7 linked regions of the Macaca fascicularis genome follow. The protein of the gene in region 4 interacts with the protein of the main gene of each other region in a pairwise test. Links are inferred from orthologs where the notes say so. Each region holds a gene or a part of one and is shown on either strand. Other genes may lie near its edges.

The links.
Region 1: the proteins of TFIP11 (region 4) and TXLNA interact in binary tests that used the Homo sapiens proteins (3 or more experiments, as listed by UniProt). The two-hybrid records come from large-scale screens. The link is inferred for Macaca fascicularis from reciprocal best matches to the Homo sapiens genes TFIP11 and TXLNA.
Region 2: the proteins of TFIP11 (region 4) and ribosomal RNA-processing protein 7 homolog A interact in binary tests that used the Homo sapiens proteins (3 or more experiments, as listed by UniProt). The link is inferred for Macaca fascicularis from reciprocal best matches to the Homo sapiens genes TFIP11 and RRP7A.
Region 3: the proteins of TFIP11 (region 4) and FAM13C interact in binary tests that used the Homo sapiens proteins (3 or more experiments, as listed by UniProt). The two-hybrid records come from large-scale screens. The link is inferred for Macaca fascicularis from reciprocal best matches to the Homo sapiens genes TFIP11 and FAM13C.
Region 5: the proteins of TFIP11 (region 4) and SAP30BP interact in binary tests that used the Homo sapiens proteins (3 or more experiments, as listed by UniProt). The two-hybrid records come from large-scale screens. The link is inferred for Macaca fascicularis from reciprocal best matches to the Homo sapiens genes TFIP11 and SAP30BP.
Region 6: the proteins of TFIP11 (region 4) and OIP5 interact in binary tests that used the Homo sapiens proteins (3 or more experiments, as listed by UniProt). The two-hybrid records come from large-scale screens. The link is inferred for Macaca fascicularis from reciprocal best matches to the Homo sapiens genes TFIP11 and OIP5.
Region 7: the proteins of TFIP11 (region 4) and ZSCAN12 interact in binary tests that used the Homo sapiens proteins (3 or more experiments, as listed by UniProt). The two-hybrid records come from large-scale screens. The link is inferred for Macaca fascicularis from reciprocal best matches to the Homo sapiens genes TFIP11 and ZSCAN12.

Annotation. Positions count from the first base shown.
Region 1 is NC_088375.1:202,841,963-202,845,462, forward strand, and holds part of TXLNA (alpha-taxilin), read right to left. Parts: intron 1,101-3,500; coding exon 930-1,100; intron 1-929. UniProt on the Homo sapiens protein: May be involved in intracellular vesicle traffic and potentially in calcium-dependent exocytosis in neuroendocrine cells.
Region 2 is NC_088384.1:9,066,975-9,071,253, reverse strand, and holds the start of ribosomal RNA-processing protein 7 homolog A, read right to left. Parts: upstream 2,801-4,279; 5' UTR 2,791-2,800; coding exon 2,718-2,790; intron 1,170-2,717; coding exon 1,027-1,169; intron 1-1,026. Other genes in the region: SERHL2 (serine hydrolase-like protein 2), read left to right, coding at 3,057-3,180, 3,531-3,653. UniProt on the Homo sapiens protein: Nucleolar protein that is involved in ribosomal RNA (rRNA) processing. Also plays a role in primary cilia resorption, and cell cycle progression in neurogenesis and neocortex development.
Region 3 is NC_088383.1:87,376,320-87,378,560, reverse strand, and holds the end of FAM13C (protein FAM13C), read right to left. Parts: intron 2,106-2,241; coding exon 1,982-2,105; 3' UTR 501-1,981; downstream 1-500.
Region 4 is NC_088384.1:25,179,325-25,182,824, reverse strand, and holds part of TFIP11 (tuftelin-interacting protein 11), read right to left. Parts: intron 1,518-3,500; coding exon 1,390-1,517; intron 1-1,389. UniProt on the Homo sapiens protein: Involved in pre-mRNA splicing, specifically in spliceosome disassembly during late-stage splicing events. Intron turnover seems to proceed through reactions in two lariat-intron associated complexes termed Intron Large (IL) and Intron Small (IS).
Region 5 is NC_088390.1:82,109,014-82,112,011, reverse strand, and holds part of SAP30BP (SAP30-binding protein), read right to left. Parts: intron 2,834-2,998; coding exon 2,782-2,833; intron 1,876-2,781; coding exon 1,817-1,875; intron 1,062-1,816; coding exon 981-1,061; intron 668-980; coding exon 583-667; intron 314-582; coding exon 132-313; 3' UTR 1-131. UniProt on the Homo sapiens protein: Plays a role in transcriptional repression by promoting histone deacetylase activity, leading to deacetylation of histone H3.
Region 6 is NC_088381.1:17,877,052-17,880,551, reverse strand, and holds part of OIP5 (protein Mis18-beta), read left to right. Parts: intron 1-2,137; coding exon 2,138-2,260; intron 2,261-3,500. UniProt on the Homo sapiens protein: Required for recruitment of CENPA to centromeres and normal chromosome segregation during mitosis.
Region 7 is NC_088378.1:144,782,104-144,786,098, reverse strand, and holds the start of ZSCAN12 (zinc finger and SCAN domain-containing protein 12), read right to left. Parts: upstream 2,801-3,995; 5' UTR 2,605-2,800; intron 1,871-2,604; 5' UTR 1,803-1,870; coding exon 1,401-1,802; intron 1-1,400. UniProt on the Homo sapiens protein: May be involved in transcriptional regulation.

The sequences.
Region 1 (3,500 bases), on a different chromosome or scaffold from region 4:
AGCAGCATTCTCTAACGTAAGGTATTATTGAGAAAGTGTATTTCTTTTTTTTTTTTTTTGAGACGGAGTCTTGCTTTTTTTGAGACGGAGTCAGGCTGGAGAGCAGTTGGCACGATCTCGGCTCACTGCAAGCTCCGCCTCCCAGGTTCACGCCATTCTCCTGCCTCAGCCTCCCGAGTAGCTAGGGACTACAGGCGCCCACCACCACACCCGGCTAATTTTTTTTTTTATTTTCGGTAGAGACGGGGTTTCACTGTGTTAGCCAGGATGGTCTCCATCTCCTGACCTCGTGATCCACCCGCCTCGGCCTCCCAAAGTGCTGGGATTATAGGTGTGAGCCACCACGCCCGGCCGAGAAAGTGTATTTCTATGCCACAAGTCTGCATTTTTTTTTTTTTTTTTTTTTGACACCAAGTCTCACTCTGTTGCCCAGGCTGTAATGCAGTGGTGCAATCTTGGCTCACTGCAACCTCAGCCTCTCGGGTGCAAGCAATTCTCGTGCCTCAGCCATCTAAGTAGCTGGGATTATAGGCATGTGCCAGCACACTTGGCTATTTTTTGTATTTTTAGTAGAATGGGGTTTCTTTTTCCAGGTTGGTCCCAAACTCCTGGCCTCAAGTGATCCATCCACCTCAGCCTCCCAAAGTGTTGCGATTATAGGCGTAAGCCACCATGCCCAGCCTTGCTTTTTTACACTGATTCCATGTGGAAATTGTAATGTTTTGGATGTTGGGTTAAATATATTACTAAAATTAATTTCACCTGTTTCTTTTTACTTTTTAGAGTGGCCAGAAGATTTTTAATCACTTATGTGGGCCACTGCACCCAGGCCTAGCCTCCATTACTTTTTAAGAGGAAAGCCCATGAAAGAAACATTAAGTGGAAGTCAAGGAAATCAGAGTCACCTGTTCCAGGGGGCCCAGGCCTACCTTGAGGGAGCGGTTGTGCCGCTGCAGCTCACGGCATAGGCTCTCAAGCTTGCTACGGGCCAGGACGGCCTTACTGTGCTCACCACGCAGATGGTCCTTCTCTTGCACCAGCTGGCTCTGCTTCTTCTGCAGGAGCTTCATCTGCTTCTGTGAGTTCCGGTGCTCCTCCAGCTGGGGACAGGGATAGGGAGGGCAGGTGAGCATCCTGTGAGGCCTTCCTGGTGGGGATCACTATTCGGGTCTAGGCTCTCCTGAGCTGCCCTGAACCGCACCGTTTCAGACCAGGAGTGCTCTCATGGGCTGATGCTGTGCTGTTGCTTACACACTCCTCCCATGAACTGACACTAACCCCGAAGCCTCCACCATAGGGACAGAGAAATGGACACTCACTAGGGCAAGCAGGGGCCACGCAGCCAGCAGATGCCAATTCCTATTCCAGCTCTGACGCTGGGCCACTAGAGCCACTTCAAGCTGTTGCATTTCCCCAATTTGCTGGACACTCATGCCCAAGGATGAGACCACCTGCTACCCTACCTTGTGCCTATTAACAGACCCCCATTGCTCCCTTACATTCCTTCAAAACGTTAGCACTGGGTTCATCAGCACTCTCCCCAGCACAATTACTTTTCTCATTTGTGGCCACTTCAGTATCAACAGATAATCCTTCTGACTCCCTGGTCTCCCAGTCCTTCAGTTCTTCCACAAACTCACTCCTTTCTCCAGCTCAGTTCCCCTCCCATGACCCTATCCAGGCCTATACAACAGAAATATAATGCAAACCACATAAATAATTAAAAATATTCTACTGGCCACACTGAAAAAGTAAAAAACAGGTGAAATTAATTTTAGTAATATATTTATTGTAACCCAATATCCAAAACATTACAATTTCAACACGGAATCAATGTAAAAAAGGGAGGCCGGGAGCGGTGGCTCACACCTGTAATCCCAGCACTTTGGGAGGCCGAGGCAGGCAGATCACTTGAGGTCAGGAGTTCAAGACCAGCCTGGCCAACACGGTGAAACCCCGTTTCTACTAAAAAAAATACAAAAAAGCAGCCAGTTTGGTGGCACATGCCTGTAATCCCAGCTACTTGGGAGGCTGTGAGGCAGGAGAATCGTTTGAACCTAGGAGCAGGACATCACGCCACTGTATTCCAGCCTGGGTGACTGAGACACTATCTAACAAAAAAAGAAGTGAGATGTTTTATATTCTTTGTTTTTGCTTAAGTCTTCAAAATCTGATGTCTATCTTACATTTACAGCACATTCAAATTCAGACTGGCCACATGTCAATTAGCTAGAGACGAATTTATCTTGGACAGCGCAGATCTAGACTTTGTCACTACCAGACAGCACACCCACTATCTCAATTTCCAGCACCCCAGGCCAGGACTACCATCACCTATCTTTTTAGCTCATTCCAATCAATATCTGTGATCCTCAGAAAATCTCTTACCCTATAAGGACCTCCAATCCATTGACTCAACCATCCTTCCACTCTCCTTTAAAATAACCACTTACCTTATTACCTGGCTTAGATTTCTTACACCCTCAACTCTCTTGGCCCTTCCCCAGTAATACTGCAACCCTAGTAAAGCACCTTCCTGCTTTACACCAGTACTGAAACAACCCTACTTGAAGAGTCTCAATTTTTTTTTTTTTTGAGATGGAGTCTCGCTCTGTCGCCCAGGCTGGAGTGCAGTGGCGCAATCTCGGCTCACTGCAAGCTCCGCCTCCCGGGTTCATGCCATTCTCCTGCCTCAGCCTCCCGAGTAGCTGGGACTACAGGCGCCCGCCCCTGCGCCCGGCTAATTTTTTCTATTTTTAGTAGAGACGGGGTTTCACCATGGTCTCGATCTCCTGACCTTGTGATCCGCCCACCTCGGCCTCCCAAAGTGCTGGGATTACAGGCGTGAGCCACCACGCCCGGCCGAAGAGTCTCACTTTAAATTCACGGCCACCAATTTCAGGAAAAGCAGCAATCTCAACACAATGCACATGCTATTCACACTCCTCTCCTTCCAGACAACTATTCATCGTCCTCATCAAATCTCAAAACACAGAAGAAACCAGAGAATCAGGGGCAGAAGCTCCACATCTGCCAGTACACCTGCCCCATCCTCTCCTCCAGTCACACAGACCTAGCCATATGGTTACCACAGCCAAGCCCCCTTCTTAGGCACTGGGCCTCAGGTCCCCTCCTCTACTCACACCACCACTCCAACAACTCATTTCCTCTCTTGCATCAGCAATTTTCCCCTGGCTGGATCACTCTAAAAGGGTGCTTATCTTCCTTACACCTTTTATTTAATCCTTACAAGAATGTCATTAGGCAGGTATGACATTCCCCATTTTACAGATGAGTAAAGTTCCCTACAGGAAAATATTAATAAATGTGTGTGGAATGAATTAATTTTAACATAAATACTTAAGAGGCTGGGCGCAGTAGCTCACGCCTGTATCCCAGCACTTTGGGAGGCCGAGACGGGCAGATCACGAGGTCAAGAGATTGAGACCATCCTGGCCAACATGGTCAACCCTGTCTCTACTGAAATATACAAAATTTAG
Region 2 (4,279 bases), about 16 Mb from region 4:
GGGCACCTGTAATTCCAGCTGCTCGGGAGGCTGCGGCAGGAGAACAGCTCGAACCTGGGAAGCGGAAGTCACAGTGAGCCACGATCGCTGTGCTCTAGCCTGAGCAACAGAGGGAGACTCTGTCTGTCTCAAAAAAAAAAAAAAAAAAAAAAAAAATCCAGCAATTCCCTTAGTTTAGTTTTTGTAAAAAAAAAAAAAAAAAAAAAAAAAAATTAACAGTTGTGTTTGGATAAAATTAGAGGCACTTTTCATTTTTTTATACTTTCCTACTTTCAAATTATGGACACGTATAGTCTCAAAGAAAACACGTAATTCAAACAACTTCGGGTAATACGTAAAAAAACCTTGGGCTACTTAGGATTACACTTTTTTTTCCTTTTTTTTGTTTGAGTCAGAGTCTCACACTGTTGCCCAGGCTTGGGTGCAATGGCGCGATCTTGGCTCACTGCAACCTCCGCCTACCAGGTTCAAGCAGTTCTTGTGCCTCAGTCTCCCAAGCAGTTGGGATTACAGGCGTGTGCCACCATGTCCGGCTAATTTTGGGGGTTTTTTGGGGTTTTTTTGAGATGGAGTCTCACTCTGTCACCTAGACTGGAATGCAGTGGCGCAATCTCGACTCACTGTAACCTCCACCTCCCGGGTTCAAGGGATTCTCATCCCTCAGCTTCCCGAGTAGCCAAGACTACCTGCACACGCCATCATGCCTGGCTAATTTTTTGTTTTTTAGTAGAGACAGGGTTTCACCATGTTGGCCAGGCTGGTCTTGAACTCCTGACTTCAGGTGATCCACCGGCCTCAGCCTCCCAAAGTGCTGGGATTACAGGCATGAGCCACCATGCCTGGCAGGATTATACTTTTAAAGACATCTTTGAAAAACCCGTTTCCTGACTGGAGATCAAGGTAGCCCTCTGGACACTCTCCTCTAGGGCTCCCATTAGCTGTGTCCGTCTCACCACCAAGGACTTGGTGGAGGCCAAGGGAGCCCCCACCTAGAGCCCACAGGTCCCCTCCCAGACACTAGCTCACCTCTGTGCAGTATGGGGGCACATTGAGGACAAAAAGAGTCCTCTTCTGAGGCCAGGTGGACTTGGTGCCTTGTCGAACGCCATGTGCTCTCACATAGAGGTAGTGAGAAGCCTGCTGCTTTTCAGAGAACTTGATTGGAATAGCTGGAAAGGAAATGGGAGGGGAGGGATGGCCAGGCTACCCTGAGCTGAGGTCAGCAAGACATTCACACTTCCTTTCTCCACATCCCTGTCTAGTCCTATCTGCTCATCAATCCATCCATCCCTTCACCAACCCCCCGACCCTACCCTTTGGCAAAGCCTGTGCGGGCTCTAAGAGTCTGCCCAGGAGGGCCTCCCAAGGTGGTGCAGGGAAAGAGAAGATAAATGGGCAATGATTACAGATGGGGGCGCAATGAAAGGGAAGCTCGAACCCTGCGGCTCTTGGAGTGAACACCAAAATCCTAACCGTGGCTAGAAGCTCCGTGAGACCCTGCCTGCCACTGTGGCCTCTTCTCGTACCATCTTCCCCACCACCTTGGATTCTCCCTGTTCCCCTGGGTACACCAGGGCCTCACACACACTGGCCTCTCTACCTAGTGCATCACCCTCTTCCCTCCTGCTAACCTTCAGGTTTAGCTCAAACCTCGCTTCCTCAAGAGAGCCTTAGCATCACCCTCCGCCCCTCCTGCCAGGTCAGACCCCACTGCCTGTGCCTTCACAGCTTCTCTTAACAGTCTGTAGGCTATACTGATGAGATTCTTTGGTTAATCACTGCCACACCCATGACTGTAATCTCATAAAGCTAGGAACTGCTTCTATTTTTCTCACACCTCCGTCAGACTACCGGTTGGCATAGAGCTGCGGTCCCTGAACTCAGGAAGCTCAGTTGCAATAACGGAGAAGACAATTACCAAGTAAGCATACAGCAAGCTTGTATCAATTATGAAAGAAACATTACAGGGTCATGGGGTGGCAGAGGTCTTCTTTCCATAGGCTCTCAGGGATGGCCTCTTTGAGGAAGCAACATTAAAGCTCAGAACAGAAACGCCACTGTGCAACAAACTGTTACAGCAAGTGCAAAAACCCAGAGGGGGAAAAAGCATGTTGCCTCAGATGAACAGAAAGAGCTTTAGGTCAGCACCAGTCAGACCATGTGGCCCACACAGGTTAAGAAGTCTGCTTTTTGTTTTAGAAGCGACTTGATGAAGCTACTGGAAGGAATGCAGTGGGTGTGGGGCCTATCGTGGGCGTGTGAGACATGCTCTAACTTAAATGGCCTTAAAAAGAACATTCTGGTACGTGGGTGGAGAACAGAAGCAGGGGCAAGAGAAAGAGGAGGGCAACCAAGTAGGAGGGCCCGTAACAGCCCAGTAAGAGCTGATGGGGGCTGGACTAGAAGCAGAGGCGATGAGAAGGGGATGGGCTCACCTGGACGAGCGAATGTGGACGGAAATGGGTTTGCCCTGGGTGAGAGGTGCACAGTGGTGGGCTCACCCAAGGGAAGCGTGGACCAAGACAGGCTCGCCCCGAGAGAGTGGGCAGGCAGAAGGGCGCCGCGTGGGTCCTCGGGACTCCGAAGCTGGGGCCAGAGGCCGCCGGAGCTCACACCCAACCGTGCGGCCGCTCCTGGGGACCCCCGGCCGCCGCCAACCCCCAAACACCTCCCGGCGATGCCTGGCCCCCCCGGTCTCGCGTCCCGGAGCCCCTCACCTGCGTAGCCCGGTGGGCTGGGGATACAGTCCTCCGGGTCCCGCGCCGCGCGCTTCCTCCTGCGCGCCACCATCTTGCCGCCCGGGAGCGCAGGGGCCGCCGGGAGTTGTGGTTCGGCGCCGGCGCGATCGCGTTTCCGTGGCGTCTGTCCCGCCCCCTGGCTCCAGGCCCGCCTCTCCGGCCCCGCCCGCCAGGGCCCAACCTTCATCAGCTCAGAGTCAAATCAGCGCGCGGAAGTGGGAGGGAACGTCAGCGTTGACCCCGGCCAGTCACGAGTGCGAACTCAGCTTTCCACTCATGCATTCACACATTGAATAGGCACTGTGAGAGAAATCCAGGATGGCTGCTAGGTTTTCAGTCGAGGCAACTAAGAGGATGGTGTTGCCATTGACTGAGATGGGGAGACTGCAGGAGAGGGGCCAGCTTGGGGAAAATCGAGTGGATCAGTTCTCTGTGGGCCATGGTGAGACGCCCATTAGGTCTCTCAGGGGAGATGTCAGGTGGGCAGTTTGATATGAGACTGAACAGACTGAACATCAGAGGTGTCAGGCCTGGAGCAATACACCTGGGACTGGCCGTGGATAGGTTACTGAAAGTTATGAGAGGGGCCGGGTGCGGTGATTCATGCCTGTAATCCCAGCAATTTGGGAGGCCGAGGGGGGCAGATCACTTGAGGTCAGGAATTACAGACCAGCCTGGCCAACTTGGTGAAACCACGTCTCTACTACGTACAAAAATTAGCCGGGTGTGGTAGCGCATGCCTATAATTCCAAATACTCGGAAGGTTGAGACAGGAAAATCGCTTGAACCCAGGAGGCGGAGATTGCAGGGAACCAGATCGCCCCACTGCACTCCAGCCTGGGCAACAGAGAAAGACTTCGTCAGAAAAGAAAAGAAAAGAAGAGAAGAGAAGAGAAGAGAAGAGAAGAGAAAAAGGTAGGAGACGGTGTGATCGCCAAGGGAGCAAGTGTAGACAGGGGAGAAAAGAAGTCCAAGGACTCCACTTATCTGGACTCCAAAGGGCCTCTCAGACCATGTACCCACCAGCCCTTGATATATCTACTATTTCTCTTCTCCCAGTGTACAGTTGCTTCTTGGAAATGCTGCCGGCCCTTCTGGGGAAAATTAGGAGACTATTACTGCAAATCTTTGTGGTCTCGAGGGGACCCAGCCTCCCTTTCAGTCAGTGACCTCCGGGTCTGAGGCCTAGCTTAGGCCTGGAAACTGGGTGAGGGGTTGGGATTTTCCATCAGCAGCTGCCATTACTGTCCTGTTTGCTTGTTTTTTCTTTTTGATCTTTCTTTGCTTAGAGCAGTCAAGCAGTGTCAGGGCTGCTGTGGCCCCTGGGAATACCGTGGTCCACTAGCCTTCACCAGAGACTCCTATGCATCCAGGCTCCCTGGCAGCCACTCTGGCCTTGCTCCTGTTCTGACAGTCACATCAACCGAACCTCTGCTCTCTGAAATCCTATCTCCTGCTGACCCTTCCAAGTCCAGCTCCAGTCCTATTTGCTCTCTTATACCCTGGCCTCAGAGGATGGCCATGCCGATTGCCCAGTGATG
Region 3 (2,241 bases), on a different chromosome or scaffold from region 4:
TTCCTCCATTAGGAGCATTGGTCCTGTTGTCCATTTTCATCACCAGATGTTTTCCACTGAAGCATGCACATGCCACTGTCACCAAAAACGAACTACCACTTTCCAAATTCCATTCAGAGCCATTTTAGTGTTTTCCTATTCCCTACCCCTCCCACTACTTTCAATGATGAAATACCCTAAGTTCTCCTTCTGACACTTTATTGCCTAGATGCTGCAATGTTTTTATGTTTCCTTTATGCCAAACATAACAAAACAGTTATATAGACCGCTTTAGCAAAGTACACAATAATGGCTTATAAATGGTGTTTAAATATGCATTCATTTTAATCTACTGAACAAATATTGGGATAACTCCAAACCGCATGAAAGGGTGTAATTGCAGCATGAGTTAAATCTTGAAGCCTAGAATTGTCAGCACTTCCAACTTCTTGTTTGACAGTGTTATTTATGTTATTTATATTAGCTAACAGGAAACAACTACTGTGTTTCAACATAATAAATATAATAGAAAAATATTTTATTTGTATTGTTGTATAAAATATTTACAATCATATAGAATATATAGAGTTACATTTTAATAGCAATTGTGTACATGTCACGAAACCATTTCCCTTATCAAAGATGTAATTTGTAAACCTCAAATAGTTGTGTATCTGTCCTGTTACAAGTAGATGACTTCAATTAAACAAATGTATGAAGGACATTATTCTGATTCATAAAAGTTATAAAATATTAGGTAAATACAGAGAAAACAATAAGCCTCTGAAATAGTCTGTTTCTGAAATAGTCAATAGTCTTCCCATCCAAACTATAAGAAAATGTGAATTTCTTCAACATCATACTTAAATGTTACAGAAAATAGAAATACAAACAAGGTTGGTACATGAGGGAAAATGTTGACCTTTTACTTCCTTTTACAAAAATGAAAATAATAAACATGTTTTAGTATAAAATAACACAAAATGATATACACTAAAGTTGATGAAGCAAATAAATATTCTGGCTTCTTTTTCAAGGTATCAGGGCAATTTCCAAACCTTTCATTTTGTACAGAAGGAAGAATAACTACAGCTCATGGGAAATGTTTTGACTTTACAAAGTATAGATGTTGGAACATTAAGAAAAATGTATATTCCCAATGAAAAAATAGTTATATCGTCTTATAGTAAACAAAAAGATTAGCAATAATACTATGGACATATTAGATTATATACTGCAGACACATATCTATCCAAAATACCTATTTTAAATTTTTAATACAATATTTTATTTTAATATAAACATCTGTCAGTTATAGACAAAGATAATAATTCACAAAGTACATGCTATCAGAATGAACTTTGGTAACCAGAAATGTAAAATTTCAAATACCAGATAAAATAATGTGTTATTTTTATAGAGAAATAAAAAAAATAGCAGTAACACAATCTAGGTTATTTTAGGGTACTGAGAGCCTAGCAGACTTAAGGGACAAGGTAGTAAATGTTTTATCACTCAAAAATCCATTAGAAGTTTCAAATAAATTACTTTCTTGCTAGGTACATTCCTTCCTACTTGAAAAGCAGAATTTCTTTTCCTCCTCTGATTGATTTTTAAAAATCATGCTCTTTTCCATACATCAACATAAACAATCTTTGGATACTAAATAAACTTTCCCTAACAAGCATCCTAGCTATGTTATTTAGATTTGATAAAATATTAGACATTTTTTAAAATACTTGTATTGACTATGAGTTTTCTGCTTGGCATGGAGGACACTGAATTTTTTCCCAATTATAAGGCTACCTGTTGTATCCTTCCCCCCATTTAAATCCCTTCTCCTTGTATATAATTAAACTTGCTATTCCTTCTTGAAAACAGCTAATACTACCACTAAAGTGCTTCCATTTTCATTGTGTCAAAACTACTTAGCAAGGATGGCAGAGGAAAATAAACTTTACTTTATATCATGGGTGAAAGTGATCATAACATTTCCTGAACCTCAAATAGTTTTGGCCACATCTTGCTTGCTGATGAGGACCTCTAATAGTCTCAGTTTGGCTTTTATGTGCTTATATTCGTAATACTCATCTGCCATTGGTATCCTATCTTCCTTTTGTGGACTTCTGCAAAACAAAAATACATTTATTAGTTCACAATGAATCAAGTCATTATTAAATATTCTTTTATAATTCATACATGAGAAAGTATACTGTGACAGCTTCCACTTGGTTTTTGCATCATGTCTTCTTTTCCTTCCCT
Region 4 (3,500 bases):
CAGACGGGAGGGAGAAACAAAAATAAAGGAAACAACATGTATTGAGCATCTACTATGGGCAGGCACTATACTAGTTTAAATGTACCTCATGTAAAACTTAGAAATGCAATGTAAACGATTTTTTAAGTACACAATATCTTGTTTCTCACTTTAAAATGAAGATAAATAAGCAGGTCCTAACTCTCAAAGCAAAGGTATCTCTTATAATCAGGGTCTGCAAAATGTACCTGCCGTAGCTACAGGAGGAGCTACGGCAAGCTTGTCCAACCCGCAGCCCAGGACGGCTTTGAATGCGGCCCAACGCAAATTTGTAAACTTTCTTAGCATGATGGTAGTGGAATCCAGCCCACAGAAGTTGGTTTTGGAGTTGTCATTATGTTTTTCTCATACTGGTTAAGACTTGTCATTTTTTTCTCTAAAAGTATCTACACATCTGGCTACTTTGGGAAAATCAGAGGATCAGGCAATACTAAGCCCACATCCTCATAAGCAACAATCACCTAGAGCTGAATAAAGATTTACCTTCTAGACAGGCTAAGGCCTCACCTCTGTGCCACAGTCCCCACCACTCTTTATTGTCTAGCATCTGGCTCATCTTACTTGCTTCTGTGGTGTGCCTGGCACCTGTAGGCTTCTAAGTCTGAGAACCCCTGACTCAGAGCGGTCAATCCCACATTATCAAATGACTGTGTCATCAAAAGGTCAGTGACAAGAAGAGTAACGTGTTTCTTTGCAGCATCCTGCTTTCCCCCATAGATTCAAATGGGAAAAGAGTAATACTTCAATCAACAAAGCTGGCCCCTTCTATCACTGGGGAAAAGGGACACACAGCTGCCAGCAGATGGCTCCCTGCTGCACTTGGGATGAAACCCAAGCACCTAAAAATGGCTGTCAAGGCCCATCTTGTGGCCCGCCTACCCCTCTGAATGCACTTCCTTCCCCTCTGCTTTGTGTACCACCCTCCCACCACAACGGCTTCCTTTATGGTTTCTTAACCGGCAAGCTCAGAGCCTCTCAGTGTCCTCAGGCTTCTCAGCTCACCCTTCTGCCAAGTCTCAACTGAAATGTTTCCTTTCCTCAAAGGTTTCCCTGACCAGCCTATTTATAAAAGTAGGTCAACACCACCTCCCAACCCCCAACCTTATTTTCTGTCTAGGCAGGTCCTAGCACCTTCTGCCATTTCAACTGCCACTTCCACACCATAGCTGCTTGTTTACTCTCTGTCCACCGTGCGCCCTCTCATCATGGTGCACCTAGCCTTCAGCCCAGCACCTGGCATATGGTACGTGTACAATAAACATCTGAGGACTAACAGAATGAAGGGATAAATGAACAGCCATTAGAAATGGACAGGACACCACCCACCCATGTCTCCTGACTTCCAGTTACCTCTTCAGCTTCTTCCTCTGAGTCAACCACAGGGAAGTCTTGCATTGACTGCGTGGTGCGCTCGGATCCATAAGCCCCCACAGCACCTTTTCCCTTTCTCTGCTTGGCTTCGATTGGGTTAATGATACCTGAGGAATTTCAGCAAAAGATAAAAAAAAGACAGTCTTATGATCACAGCAATTCATGTATGTGAATCAGCCACTCAGTGAAATGACAGTTTCTTGCTCCTTCCACAAAATAACACGGTACTCAAGGAGAGCTATTCTCTGCCCTCAGAACACTACTCTTGTCCCTTGTGATTTGAAACTTATGAGCATTTATGCTACCACAGGACAGTCTGCTGACTGGTTTATTTATATCCCAAATAGATTTCCATTTCTACTTGGATTGTTTCAGTGGACAAGAAAACAGAACACTACATTTATAACCGAGAACTCCAGCATACTAAATTCTACACTTCACTTCTTTGGAAGCCTCTATTAGGGAAAATGCAATAATTCAGATACTATATTGACTCTGACTGAAGTGAAGCTGTAATTTAATATAAGACTCCTCATGTATTTTACTTAGGAGTTCCTATCTCCTATGTTTAACTTTTTTATAACAAGTTTAAGCCCTAGAAATAAATGTTGCTTTTCTCATAAAAGAGTTTACGAATAGGACCACAACATTTCAATGAAGATGTTGCCCCCCCCTCCAAATTTTCCATCCCTGCCTCCCTTCCATTTAGTACAGTTGAAGTCTCAAATAAGAGCTATCCCTGGGCCAGGCATGGTGGCTCATGCTTGTAATCCTAGCACTTTGGGAGGCCAAGGTCTTGAACCAGCCTGGGCAACATAGTAAGACCCCATCTACAAAAAAAGAAAAAATTAGCCAGGCATAGCAGAGTGTGCCTGTCGTCCCAGCTACTCGGCAGGCTTGAGCCCAGGAGGTTGAGACTGCAGTAGGCTATGATCATGCCATGCCACTGCACTCCACCCTAGGTAACAGAGTGAGACCTTGTATCAAAAAAAGGAAAAAAGCTGTCCCCTCATTCTCATTCAGCGTATCCTTGCTTAAGTTCATGTATTTTTCATGTACCTAATGTTTTCAACACATAACCTGGATTTCATTTTAATAATTATTTAGAGGCCGGGCGCAGTGGCTCACACCTATAATCCCAGCACTTTGGGAGGCCAAGGAGGGTGGATCACTTGAGGTCAGGAGTTTGAGACCAGCCTGGCCAACATGGTAAAACCCCGTCTCTACCAAAAATACAAAAATTAGCTGGGTGTGGTGGCGGCTGCCTGTAATCCCTGCTACTCGGGAGGCTGAGGCAGGAAAATCGCTTGAACCAGGAGGCAGCGGTTGCAGGTGAGTCAAGATCGTGCCATAGAACTCCAGTCTGAGCGACAAGAGTGAAACTGTGTCTCAAAAAATAATATTATTATTATTTAGAGACTCAAATTTGAATATGGAAGACACATTTGATTATATCTACTTGGCAATCATGCATAGGATATAGCTCAAGAGAAGGGGAAATGTTCTTGTAGGAAGAATCCAAGTGTTTGGTTTGAGAGGCTTTGGTCTCAAGAAGATAAGAGTGTGACAGGGGCTGTGTCTCAGTGAGGCTGGCCATGAGAAGACAGGAGGAGACTGGGCTACTAGACGAAGATGGAAGTAACCAATGAAGGATTTGCTCAGCCAATTTTACAGCCATATGGCTCTAATTATTAAAAAAGCTACACACAATGTTTTACTGATATTCCTGAAGGACAAATAACCGTTTCTGCAAAACTAAAACCCTTGTGAGTAGGGATGGCAAACTCAAATGACTTCAGGACCAACAAAAGTTCCTGTGGGTTGGGGTGGAAGACAACAGGGGGCCGTGGAGACTGCCTCCAAGAGAAGACCATGTCCATTGTCCCAGGAGCAGCTCTCACTTGCCTCAACTAACTACTGCCAGGCAAAATCTAGAATTTTAGGTGAAATTGTCTGTTTTTTAAATATTAGCAACTAATTCATTTTTGTCTTTATTTATTCTATTTATTTATTTATTTATTTATTTAGAGACTGAGTCTCACTCTATTGCCCAGGCTGGAGTGCAGTGGTGTGATCTGGGCTCACCGCAA
Region 5 (2,998 bases), on a different chromosome or scaffold from region 4:
CACATAGAAGCTCCTCTCAGGTGGCATCAGGGGAGCAGGTCCCAATCCTGAAATATACAAAGTGGCGCCTCCCACTGGGCAGTGGTCACTGGGCTGCACAGTCCTTTCGAGTCCTAGGGTGGCCCCTCAGGTCACTGCTTGGCCTTCTTCACAATGGTGCCCACAGCAGAGATGACGGTGGTCTTGGAGCCGCTGGCGCTGGTGGTGACCGTGACGACAGCTGGCAGGGTGGCTGTAGTGGTGAGGATGGTGGGCTGGGCTATCGTCGTCACTGGGATAGCCGAGTCCCACTTGCTCTTTCTCTTCTGAGCATCTGGAGATAAAGCAGAAGTCAGGATCGCGATCCACTAATGAGCAGCGCTCTCCTTCCCTTCCCCTGCAGGCCAGCACGGGCCTAGGGAGCAGAAACCGAAGGGGCCCCCCCAAGACTCCAAAGCTGGTTCTCAAAGTCCCTGCTTAGAAAAGAGCAAGGCTGAGCCTAGGCCTAGATCCACGTGTTGTCTGTTGCCCAAACTAGCCAGGGAGACACTGGCTCCGTGTGTATGGCAGGAGGCAGGGAGGCAGGGCAGCTCTGCAATCTACCTGCAACAGCTGTGCTGGCAGTGGTAGTGGTGGTGGCCGTGGCGTTGGTCGTGGTGCCTTTCTTGGTGCCCGTCACAAACTCAATCTGGAGAGGGAGAGGGAAGAGAATGAGGCTGGGCAAAGCTGGGTGTCCATAGCCTTTTGCCATCCGTCAGCTCCTGGGGGACAGGAGCTTGGCACTACACAAAAGAGGTATTGGAAATGAACTCTGCTCTGACCATCTGGGGGAGGGTGAGGTGTCTAAGAACCCAAAGGGGCTTTTCGCTCTTAAAAGAACTTTCCAAACAGTACTGGATCCCTCCCGGCATCACCAGGTCTCTGCACATGCCCGGCACCCCCGGCCCACCGCCCCACCTCACATGCCCAGAACCGTTTGGCCAGGCCCCTCCTCCTCACACCCAGGAGGAGGCGGCGCCCGCCCGCACAGGGGAAGGACAGCTCCGGTCCCCAGGCGCTGCAGACACGTCCCTGCAACAAGCCTGGGGTTTGGAAGGGAGAGGGAAAGAGAGAGAAGGGAGATTCAATCAAGGGTTAAGAATGAGAAACCCCGATTATCCCCTTGCACCAGCTCCCACGTTCCTGGCCCAGCAGCCAGTGACTCCAGAGGGCCACCAGCATGCCCAGGCCCCAGAGCCCCTCTGCCTGGGGTGAGGGAAGCAGTCTGGAGGCCGCAGCTACTTGAGGATGGTCAGGCCGAGCCAGACGTGGGAGGAGCTGGTGTCCTGATGCCTGGCTCCGAGACTGGTCACAAAGGGAACAAGGCCCAGAGATAACACTTTGGTCTCACAGCCAAACTGATGCTCCCTGAAGAACCCAGACCACACTGCTGGGGAACAAGTGGCGCTCAGGGCCCTAACATGGGACCTAATAGGTAGCAACCAGGCGGGCCACCGAGGGCAGCTCTGGAGGCCAAGAAACTCACTGAGCAGAGCAAGCTGGGCCCGGCACTCTCTTAGGGAATTACTTCCCTCCCTTCAGGCCACAGAGGGCACCCACGACCCAAAATAGACAAAGCCTCCCAAGGTTCTGCAATTGAGGGGAGGAAGGGGGTCACAACGCAGCAAGCAAGACTCCAAGGGCAAGGCAGCAGGCGAGCACCGCAAACCCAGAGCAGGGCCTGTGCCCTGACATGGGGCCAGGGCGGGGGGCAGCCTGGACAACCTCTGGGCTCAGCCAGCAGGACCCATGCACTTCACATCTGCCTTTTCCATCTAGGAGGTCTGCCATCACTTACTTTCGTTCGCTCCTTTTTGGCCTTTTCCAATTTGTCCATCTCAATCTTCTGGGCCTTGGCTATGAAGACAAGAGAAGCTGTTACAAAGGCGGCCCCTGAGCAGCTCTGGGCTGAGGGAGCCGACTCTGATCCCTGCGTTCTTTTCAGTGGGCTAAAGGTCTTCATGGGCTCAGTGTTCTTCGTGCTAGGCAAAATGAAGCCAGCCCTTGCTTGGCGTAGGGCAGGGGCCTTCAGCTCCAGACTGGAGGGCTGCATGCCCCGTGTCTGTGTCTGGAAGGGTCAGCTACTCCTGAGCTCCTGTGGACTGCCGCACACGGAAATACAGGCCCAATGGGGACTACCTTGCTACTGACTGAGAGAAGCTGGAATCAGAGATTATTATGTAAAATGTTGGCAATGAATTCAAAATAAAAGACAGTAACATTCATGAAGGCCAAACAAAGCACCTCTACAGGCCAAGATCTGGGCCATGGGCTACAGGCTCAAGACCTATGGTCTAGGGGTTGGGCCCTTTGACATTCCTCCCAGTTCTCCCAAACTGGTACCTTAAGAATAAGCCACCCTCTCACTGGCCTCGGAACATTCTGCCTGCACCTGCCTGGCCCCTCTGCCTCTTCAAACCTCAGCTGGAACACAGTTTTGTCAGTGAGACCTTCCCATCCCTTTGGCCAGATTAGATGACCCTGCTTGCCAAAGCTCCCCTGTACCCAGCAACTCTGTCATCACCAACACTTCATCGATGCTGGCATTACTGGCGTGATGCATTACTGGCATCTTCTTTGCTGTGGCATAAGCCTCTTAAGGCAGGGGTGGGTCTGTCTCATTCAGGCCTGTACCCAGCCCCTTGAACATGGCCTGACGTAAAGGAGACCCTGAAATACGTGTTGCCTGGATAACCAACTGACTGGATAAAGGGACAGTTGGGTGGGCGGACGAGGTATATGGGAGGAGGGATGAAAGGCTACCTAATGCCTCATAGTAGGAGTCCTCAGACCAGCCATGGGGATCAAACATATCCTGCAAAGGAAAAGGCGAAAGTTGCAGTTAGTAGGAACCGTCATATGACAAATGACTCAGAAACCCAAGTTCCTTGCCTGAGTCTTTCCACAGAGCTTCCTGGTCTGGGGTCCCCTTACCTGGGGCTCGGCTGTCATCCCTGGTCTCTAGCCAAGGGGCAGCTGG
Region 6 (3,500 bases), on a different chromosome or scaffold from region 4:
GTGATCCACCTGCCTTGGCCTCCCAAAGTGCTGGGATTACAGGCATAAGCCATCATGCCCGGGCTAGCTATGTGATTTTTATGTTGTATTTTGTTAATAGAATTCTGCTAGCCTGGGAAGTAAGACCCCATTTCTTCCAAAAAAAATTAGTAGGGCATGGTAGCATGCACCTGTAATCCCAGCTTTGGGAAGCTGAGGCAGGTGGATCAGTTGAGCCCAGGAATTCAAGGCTGCAGGGAGCTATGATTGTACCACTATGTTCTGACCTGGGCAACAGAACAAGAACCTGTCTTAAAAAAAAAAAAAAATTCTTCATAGCATACTCTATATTAATATAATTAATTTTTCCTTTACCAAAGCACTTTAAAATTGCCTTTAGCACATGCATGATGAAATACTTTCTTAAAGTGCTTTTCTTTTAGAAAATTTTTTTGGCCGGGCGCGGTGGCTCACGCCTGTAATCCCAGCACTTTGGGAGGCCGAGGCGGGCGGATCACAAGGTCAGGAGATCGAGACCACGGTGAAACCCCGTCTCTACTAAAAATACAAAAAATTAGCCGGGCGCGGTGGCGGGCGCCTGTAGTCCCAGCTACTCGGGAGGCTGAGGCAGGAGAATGGCGTAAACCCAGGAGGCGGAGCTTGCAGTGAGCCGAGATCGCGCCACTGCACTCCAGCCTGGGCGACAGAGCGAGACTCCGTCTCAAAAAAAAAAAAAAAAAAAGAAAAATTTTTAATTTTATTTTGAGACGGAGTGTTGCTTTGTTGCCCAGGCTGGAGTGCAGTGGCACTATCTCGGTTCACTGCAAGCTCCGCCTCTTGGGTTCACACCATTCTCCTGCCTCAGCCTCCCGAGTAGCTGGGACTACAGGCGCCCGCCACCACACCTAGCTATTTTTAAATATTTTTAATAGAGACGGGATTTCACCATGTTAGCCAGGATGGTCTTGATCTCCTGACCTCGTGATCTGCCAGCCTCGGCCTCCCAAAGTACTGGGATTACAAGCGTGAGCCACCGTGCCTGGGCTGTTTATTTATTTTTTAAGACGGGGTTTTACCATGTTGCCTAGGCTGATCTTGAATTCCTGGGCTCTAGCTATCTGCCCACTTTGGCCTCTGAAAGTGCTGCGATTACAGTAGGTGTGAACCACTGTGCCTGACCAAAATGTTCCTGTTTAATATTTAAATATGTCTTATATACCAGCAAATATGATGACTTGCTCAAGAATTGTAATGAGAACTAAAATCAACATCTGACTCTTCATCAGTAATCTTTTCAGAGGATAAGGAAAGCAAAATAGATGGCTTGCTAGGGTAATGGGATTCCTTTTTCTTTCTCTTTTAGTCTGGGCATTTTTTCATTAACTTTTTTTTATATATGCAAAAGACAAATCTTTAGTTCTATGAACAATTTGTTTAGTAAAGCCCCAGTCAACATGATTATTTTTTCAACAAATGTGAATTTATATAATGATAGCCATTTTACACGGTGATTTGTAGTTTTAAATGTTTTAGTATTAATCAGATTAGTTAGCTCTTTTTCTGTTTATTAGGGGTAAGTTACCTTTCTCTACTGAAGTGACAATTATACATCCATGACTGCTTTGACCAGAATATAAGAGGGTATCCGCAATCCAGCATGTAATTAAATTATAACGTGAATTACCCTTTCTTGAATGTGATATTCTTTCAGTCTCATTCCTATTACAATATAATTTTCACCCTGACTTAGGTGTTAGGAATGCTTCAGAGACTAGTTATTTTTTATTTCTTACATGATTTTTTTATTCTTTTTTTTTTTTTTTTTTTTGAGACAGAGTCTCGCTCTGTCGCCCAGGCTGGAGTGCAGTGGCCGCATCTCAGCTCACTGCAAGCTCCGCCTCCCGGGTCTACGCCATTCTCCTGCCTCAGCCTCCCGAGTAGCTGGGACTACAGGCGCCCGCCACCTCACCCGGCTAGTTTTTTGTATTTTTTTTTTAGTAGAGACGGGGTTTCACCGTATTAGCCAGGCTGGTCTCGATCTCCTGACCTTGTGATCCGCCCGTCTCGGCCTCCCAAAGTGCTGGGATTACAGGCTTGAGCCACCACGCCCGGCCGATTTTTTTATTCTTACCCATATTCTGTTTTTCCCTACTCCTAGTACTTACAACCTTTTATTCTGTGGTTCCTGTGGGATTCCCATTGGTTTCCATCTGTATTCTACCCATGCTGCCCTGGCTGCCTTGAGAGGTCACTTCTGCCTTTCCAGTGACAAAATGGTGTGGTGAGTAGACTTAGATATTGATCATCAAATACACTTATTTATTTATTTATTTATTTATTTAGAGACAAAGTCCATCAAATAAATTTTAAAAGATTTTTCAGGAAAGAGAAAGTGGGCTGAGCACAGTGGCTCATGCCTGTAATTCCAGCACTTTGGGAAGCTGAGGCGGGTGGATCACTTGAGGTCAGGAGTTGGAGACCAGCCTGGCCAACATGGTGAAACCCGTCTCTACTAAAAATACCAAAATTAGCCAGGTGTGGTAGACACCTGTAATCCCAGCTGCTTAGGAGGCCGAGGCATGAGAATTGTTGGAACCTGGGAGGCGGAGGCTGCTGTGAGCCGAGATTGCGCCGCTGCACTCCAGTCTGAGAGACAGAGTGAGATTCTGTCCAACTACTTGGGAGGCTGAGGCAGGAGAATTGCTTCAACCTGAAAGGTGGAGGTTGCACCGTGAGCTGAGATCGTGCCACTATACCCCAGCCTGGGTGACAGAGCAAGACTCTGCCTCAAAAAAAAAAAAAAAAAAAAAAAAGACAAAGCGTTTGTACCAAAGAAGATGCTAAAGTCAGGCACTGTCTTTGACAAAAAGATAGCAGTGGGCCAAGTGTGATGGCTCACGCCTGTAATGCCAGTGCTTTGTGAGGCCAAGGTGGGAGGACTGCTTAAGGGCAGGAGTTCAAGACCTCCATGGGCAATATAGTGAGACCCCTATTTTTTTATACAAAATAAAAAAAAATTAGCTGGATGTGGTGGTGGCCTGCCCCTGTAGTCCCAGTTACTTGGGAGGCTGAGGTGGGAGGATCACATGAGCCCAAGAGTTCAAGGTTACAGTTTGCTGTGATCACACCACTGCATTCCATTTTGGGTGACAAAATGAGACTCCATCTCTTAAAAAAAATAAAAAGATAGCAGTGGGACCAAAATATAATCTTATAACATTATGATTATCTTCCATGTCTTCTTATACCACATCTTAAGAAGCATCCATGGAAGAATTCAGAGGGTAGTCTTTCATTAAATAAACTTTTTGCCAGATGTGGTAGTGTGTGCCTATAATTCTAGTTACCCAGGAGGCTGAGGCAGGAGGATCCCTTGAATCTTGAAGGTGTTTGAGATCAGCCTAGGCAACATAGTGAAGCCTCCTATCTCAAACTGCCCCCTTAAAAAAAAAAAATAAATAAAAAGAACATTGTATGACCAGGCGCAGTGGCTCACGCCTGTAATCCCAGCACTTTGGGAG
Region 7 (3,995 bases), on a different chromosome or scaffold from region 4:
CTAAGATATGCTTCATCCTTGGTAATCACACTTTCATGATCCTGTTTCTTTTTTTTTTTTTAAGCAGAGTCTCACTCTGTTGCCCAGGCTGGGGTACAGTGGCACAATCTTGGCTCACTGCAACCTCTGCCTCCTAGGTTCAAGTGATTCTCCTGCTTCAGCCTCCCAAGTAGCTGGGATTACAGGCACGTGCCGCCATGCCCGGCTGATTTCTGTATTTTTAGTAGATACGGGGTTTCACCATGTTGCCCAGGCTGGCCTTGAACTCCTGACCTCAGGTGATCCACCTCCCTCGACCTTCCAAAGTGCTAGGATTACAGGCATGAGTCACTGCGCCTGGCCTCGTGATCTTATTTCAAACTTAGATCTTTTTGCCACATGTTCCTACCCTCTCTATTGTATTTTGTATCACAGTGTTAGATTATACTTCCATTTCATTATTTCCCTAAGTTTCAAACTCTTTATATCAGGGTTTCCTAGTGTTGGCTCTACTGACATGTTGGTTTAGATAATTCTCTGTTGTCTGGGGCTGTTCTGTGTGTTGTAAGAGGCTTAGCATTAGCCTTGTCCTCTCTACCCACTAGATACTAGGAGCACCTCCCTGAGTTATAACAACCAAAAATGTCCCAAGACATTGCCAATGCCCTCTGGGGCACAAAATTGGCACTGGTTGACAACCACTGTCTCATTTTAGTATTAAAAACAAAACAAAAAAGTTCTATATAATTTGGTTCTCTTTTACATCTTACAATTAGTAAAGCTCATTTAGACTCAAGAAGAAAAGGTTAGGGGCGTCTGTCTACAGAATAAAATCTCAATTCCAGAGGTTGAGATTCAAGGTCCTGGACACTATCTCAACTCTTCTACTCAGAATTCACCTTTCCAGCCTAACTGGGCTTTCTACTACTCAAAGAAACACAGAACCCCACCCTGCTCTCCTCACTAACTTTCCATTGTACTCCCACATCTCATTCCCCTGAAATAGTTAATTTTTCCATTTTAAAACCCTGTAATGGAGTCAGAGCAATGGATATATCTGCAAAACCTTAATTCTTAATTATTTGTATTGTGCAACAGAGTGATGCCCCTCCAAGAGACTGCTTCCCATCCTGCTACTTTCATCTCTCTGATACCTTCTCTTGTCTTAGAAGTTTTCTAAGATGAGCAGCATATTTATCAAACAGAATTTTGTAGCTTAATAGAGAAATATAAAATCCTTCCACAGAAAAGTTATAAATAAGTTGGGACCACATTAGCCAACTTTCCCTGAAACTCATGCCCCTTTCTGATGCATCAAACTGTCAAAAAACATGCTTTGTGAAAAAATGGCTGTTCTTCACTCTGGCCTAGAAATCCACAATTTATCTTTTCTCAAACAGAAGTCACCTCTTTTTTCTCACCTGCTCTCCTGGCTCATCCAATTCTCTCTCTAAATCCTCCAGCACAGTCACCACCTCCTCGCCACTCTCTGGATGCTGCTCCTGCACCCAGGCCTGGAGCTCCTCAGGTAGGATGGTCAGGAACTGCTCCAGCACCAGCAGCTCCAGAATCTGTTCTTTGGTGTGGGTCTCTGGCCTCAGCCACTGATGGCAAAGTTCTCGGAGTCGGCTCAAAGCCTCACGGGGACCAGACGTCTCCTGGTAGCAGAACTGTCTGAAGTACTGACGGAAGACCTCTCTGCTATGGGTGTTGTTTTTATGCAGGTCCCAATCCTGTCTGGTGGTATACTTCTTCTCCTCTATCTTTACTTCCAAACGTTCATCCTGGTCCATGTGGGCCTGGATAGCCCAAGTAGATGCCATTTTAGCTGTGCCAGAACTACCGGTGTTTCAAGTAAGATCTCCCCTGGAAAATTTATTCCTGGACAGTCCTGAGGAATAAGCCATCATTATTAACACAAACTCCACCATAAAGTAAAACTGCAAATTCTGAGAACTTAACTATGATCTTTGAAATCTGGCCTCCAGGTTAATGTACGATACTTACTCAGAAAAATACTCTGATAGAAAAGACTTAAGATTAGACCAATTTAAAGAGAAAGACTAAGGAAAGGTGCCAAGTTGTTTCAGGACTTTAAGAAGAAGAGTAAGACTTGTTAGTAAACTTATTCTCATTTGGTCCTAAATGAAAGGCAAATGGAATAAAACTAACATTTAGATCAAGTAAACAATAATGATAAAAGGTTAGGACATCCTTGATTAGTTACTTTTATCTTTTGAATATCCAGATGTCTGGTAGAAACCATGAAATCACAAAAGCAACAAAGTCATGTAAATTTATTTCCTCAGGGACTTAAACTTTCCGCTCCTTATTCTTCATTTATAAAGTGAGAAGGCTGAAGAGGTTACTCTTTAAGCCTTCCCTCTATCCTCATGGTCTGTGATTATAATCTGAAGTGAGGAAGGCCCTGGGACGCCGGCCAGCGTCTGTGAACCACCACTGTCTAGAAATGTCGGTACGCGCTGAACCCAAGGATACAACGCCGAGGCAAACGCGGAAGGTAGGTATGGGCCTTACAGCACGGAATTGCTGCAGACTGGGAGCCGATCCCTCATCCTAGTCTCCCAGCGCACTTTGGGGAGGGAGAGCTTCCCGCGGATCCACCTGGGTTTGGGAGGACCAGGGTCCATTCTGCACCGGCCAGAGCCGAGGGGCCCAGCAACTAGAATACAGCAATCTTCCGCCCACCTCCTCGCAGCATACAGAGCACAACATCGCTCACCTGCGGCCCCCCCGGGCCAGAAGAGAACTCCCCCCTAAAGGCCTCGAACCCTTTTGGGACCCGGAACCCATCAAAAGTGACCCACAAAGGCCGGAAGCGGCCACGGGAGGGCTGAGAACCAACCCGCGTGGGGCGCACTTCCGCGGCCGCTCTAGGAAGGGGGCGAAAGGGGCTTTCAACTCGGTAGTAGTGTTTCCGCGCGTCTACGTGAGAGGAAGGGTGATGATGGCTCTCAGACCCGCGGGTAAACGGAACGGGTTTATCTTTCTCCTCTTCTTTACTCAGCCATTGTCCACACTTCCCCCGGCCCGATGGGTGGTCAAGGCTTGTAGAACTGATCTTAAGACAGGGAAATCCCTTGCGTCTCCATTCACTTTGGGATTCTGTGTCTCTGAGGTTAGAGATGCCTCAAAGGGATGTTCTCGGGGGACCTTCTGCCGGGGAGCTTCCCAAATCCGCGCTTAGCGGTGGCGTAGGGATTTCTTCCACACAGACTTCTCAAGGGCCAGCGGGCTGGTTTCTGCCGGCTATTTCGCCATCCACGATCCTCTTGATGTTCTCTTTTATGCGCCGATGTATGATTATATGTCAGAAAACCCGGTTCAATGGAAAAACTATTAAAAAAAAAAAGGATAATTTAGTAAATTAGCAAGATATAAAGTTAACACACTAAAATCAATGGCCTTCATATATGTGAATAATCAATGATAACGAGTTACGAGATATAATGGAAGAGAAGACTATATTTACAATAGCAACAAAAAATTGAAACTAGGAATAAACTTAACAAGAAATGAACAAAACTTCTATGGAGAAAGCTTTAAAAAGCTCCTAAAAGGCCAGATGTACATTTAAACAAACAAAGCAATATGCGGTTCTTAGAAAGACTCAAAGAGGTCAATCCTCCCTAAATACGTATGCAACTCTAGTATTCCAACAAAAATATCAACAAATATTGTTCTGGAATTAGATAAACTGATTATAAAGTTCAAGTGGGAAAATAAGAATAGCCAGGAAACCCATGAAAAAGAACAATGGTGAGGGTCAGCCTTATCAGATACTGGAACATACCCATATGATTTTATTGTATTAACAGAGAGAAAGAATAGACCAGAAATAGATCCAGGTATGTAAGGATATTGAGTAAATGATGAAGGGGACACCACATGTCAACAGAGAAATGAAGAACTTAGAAGTTGTGCTGGGATGACAACCATTTGTCAAAGGTAAAACTGGATTTGTATTTCCCACCACACATCACAATAGAGATAAA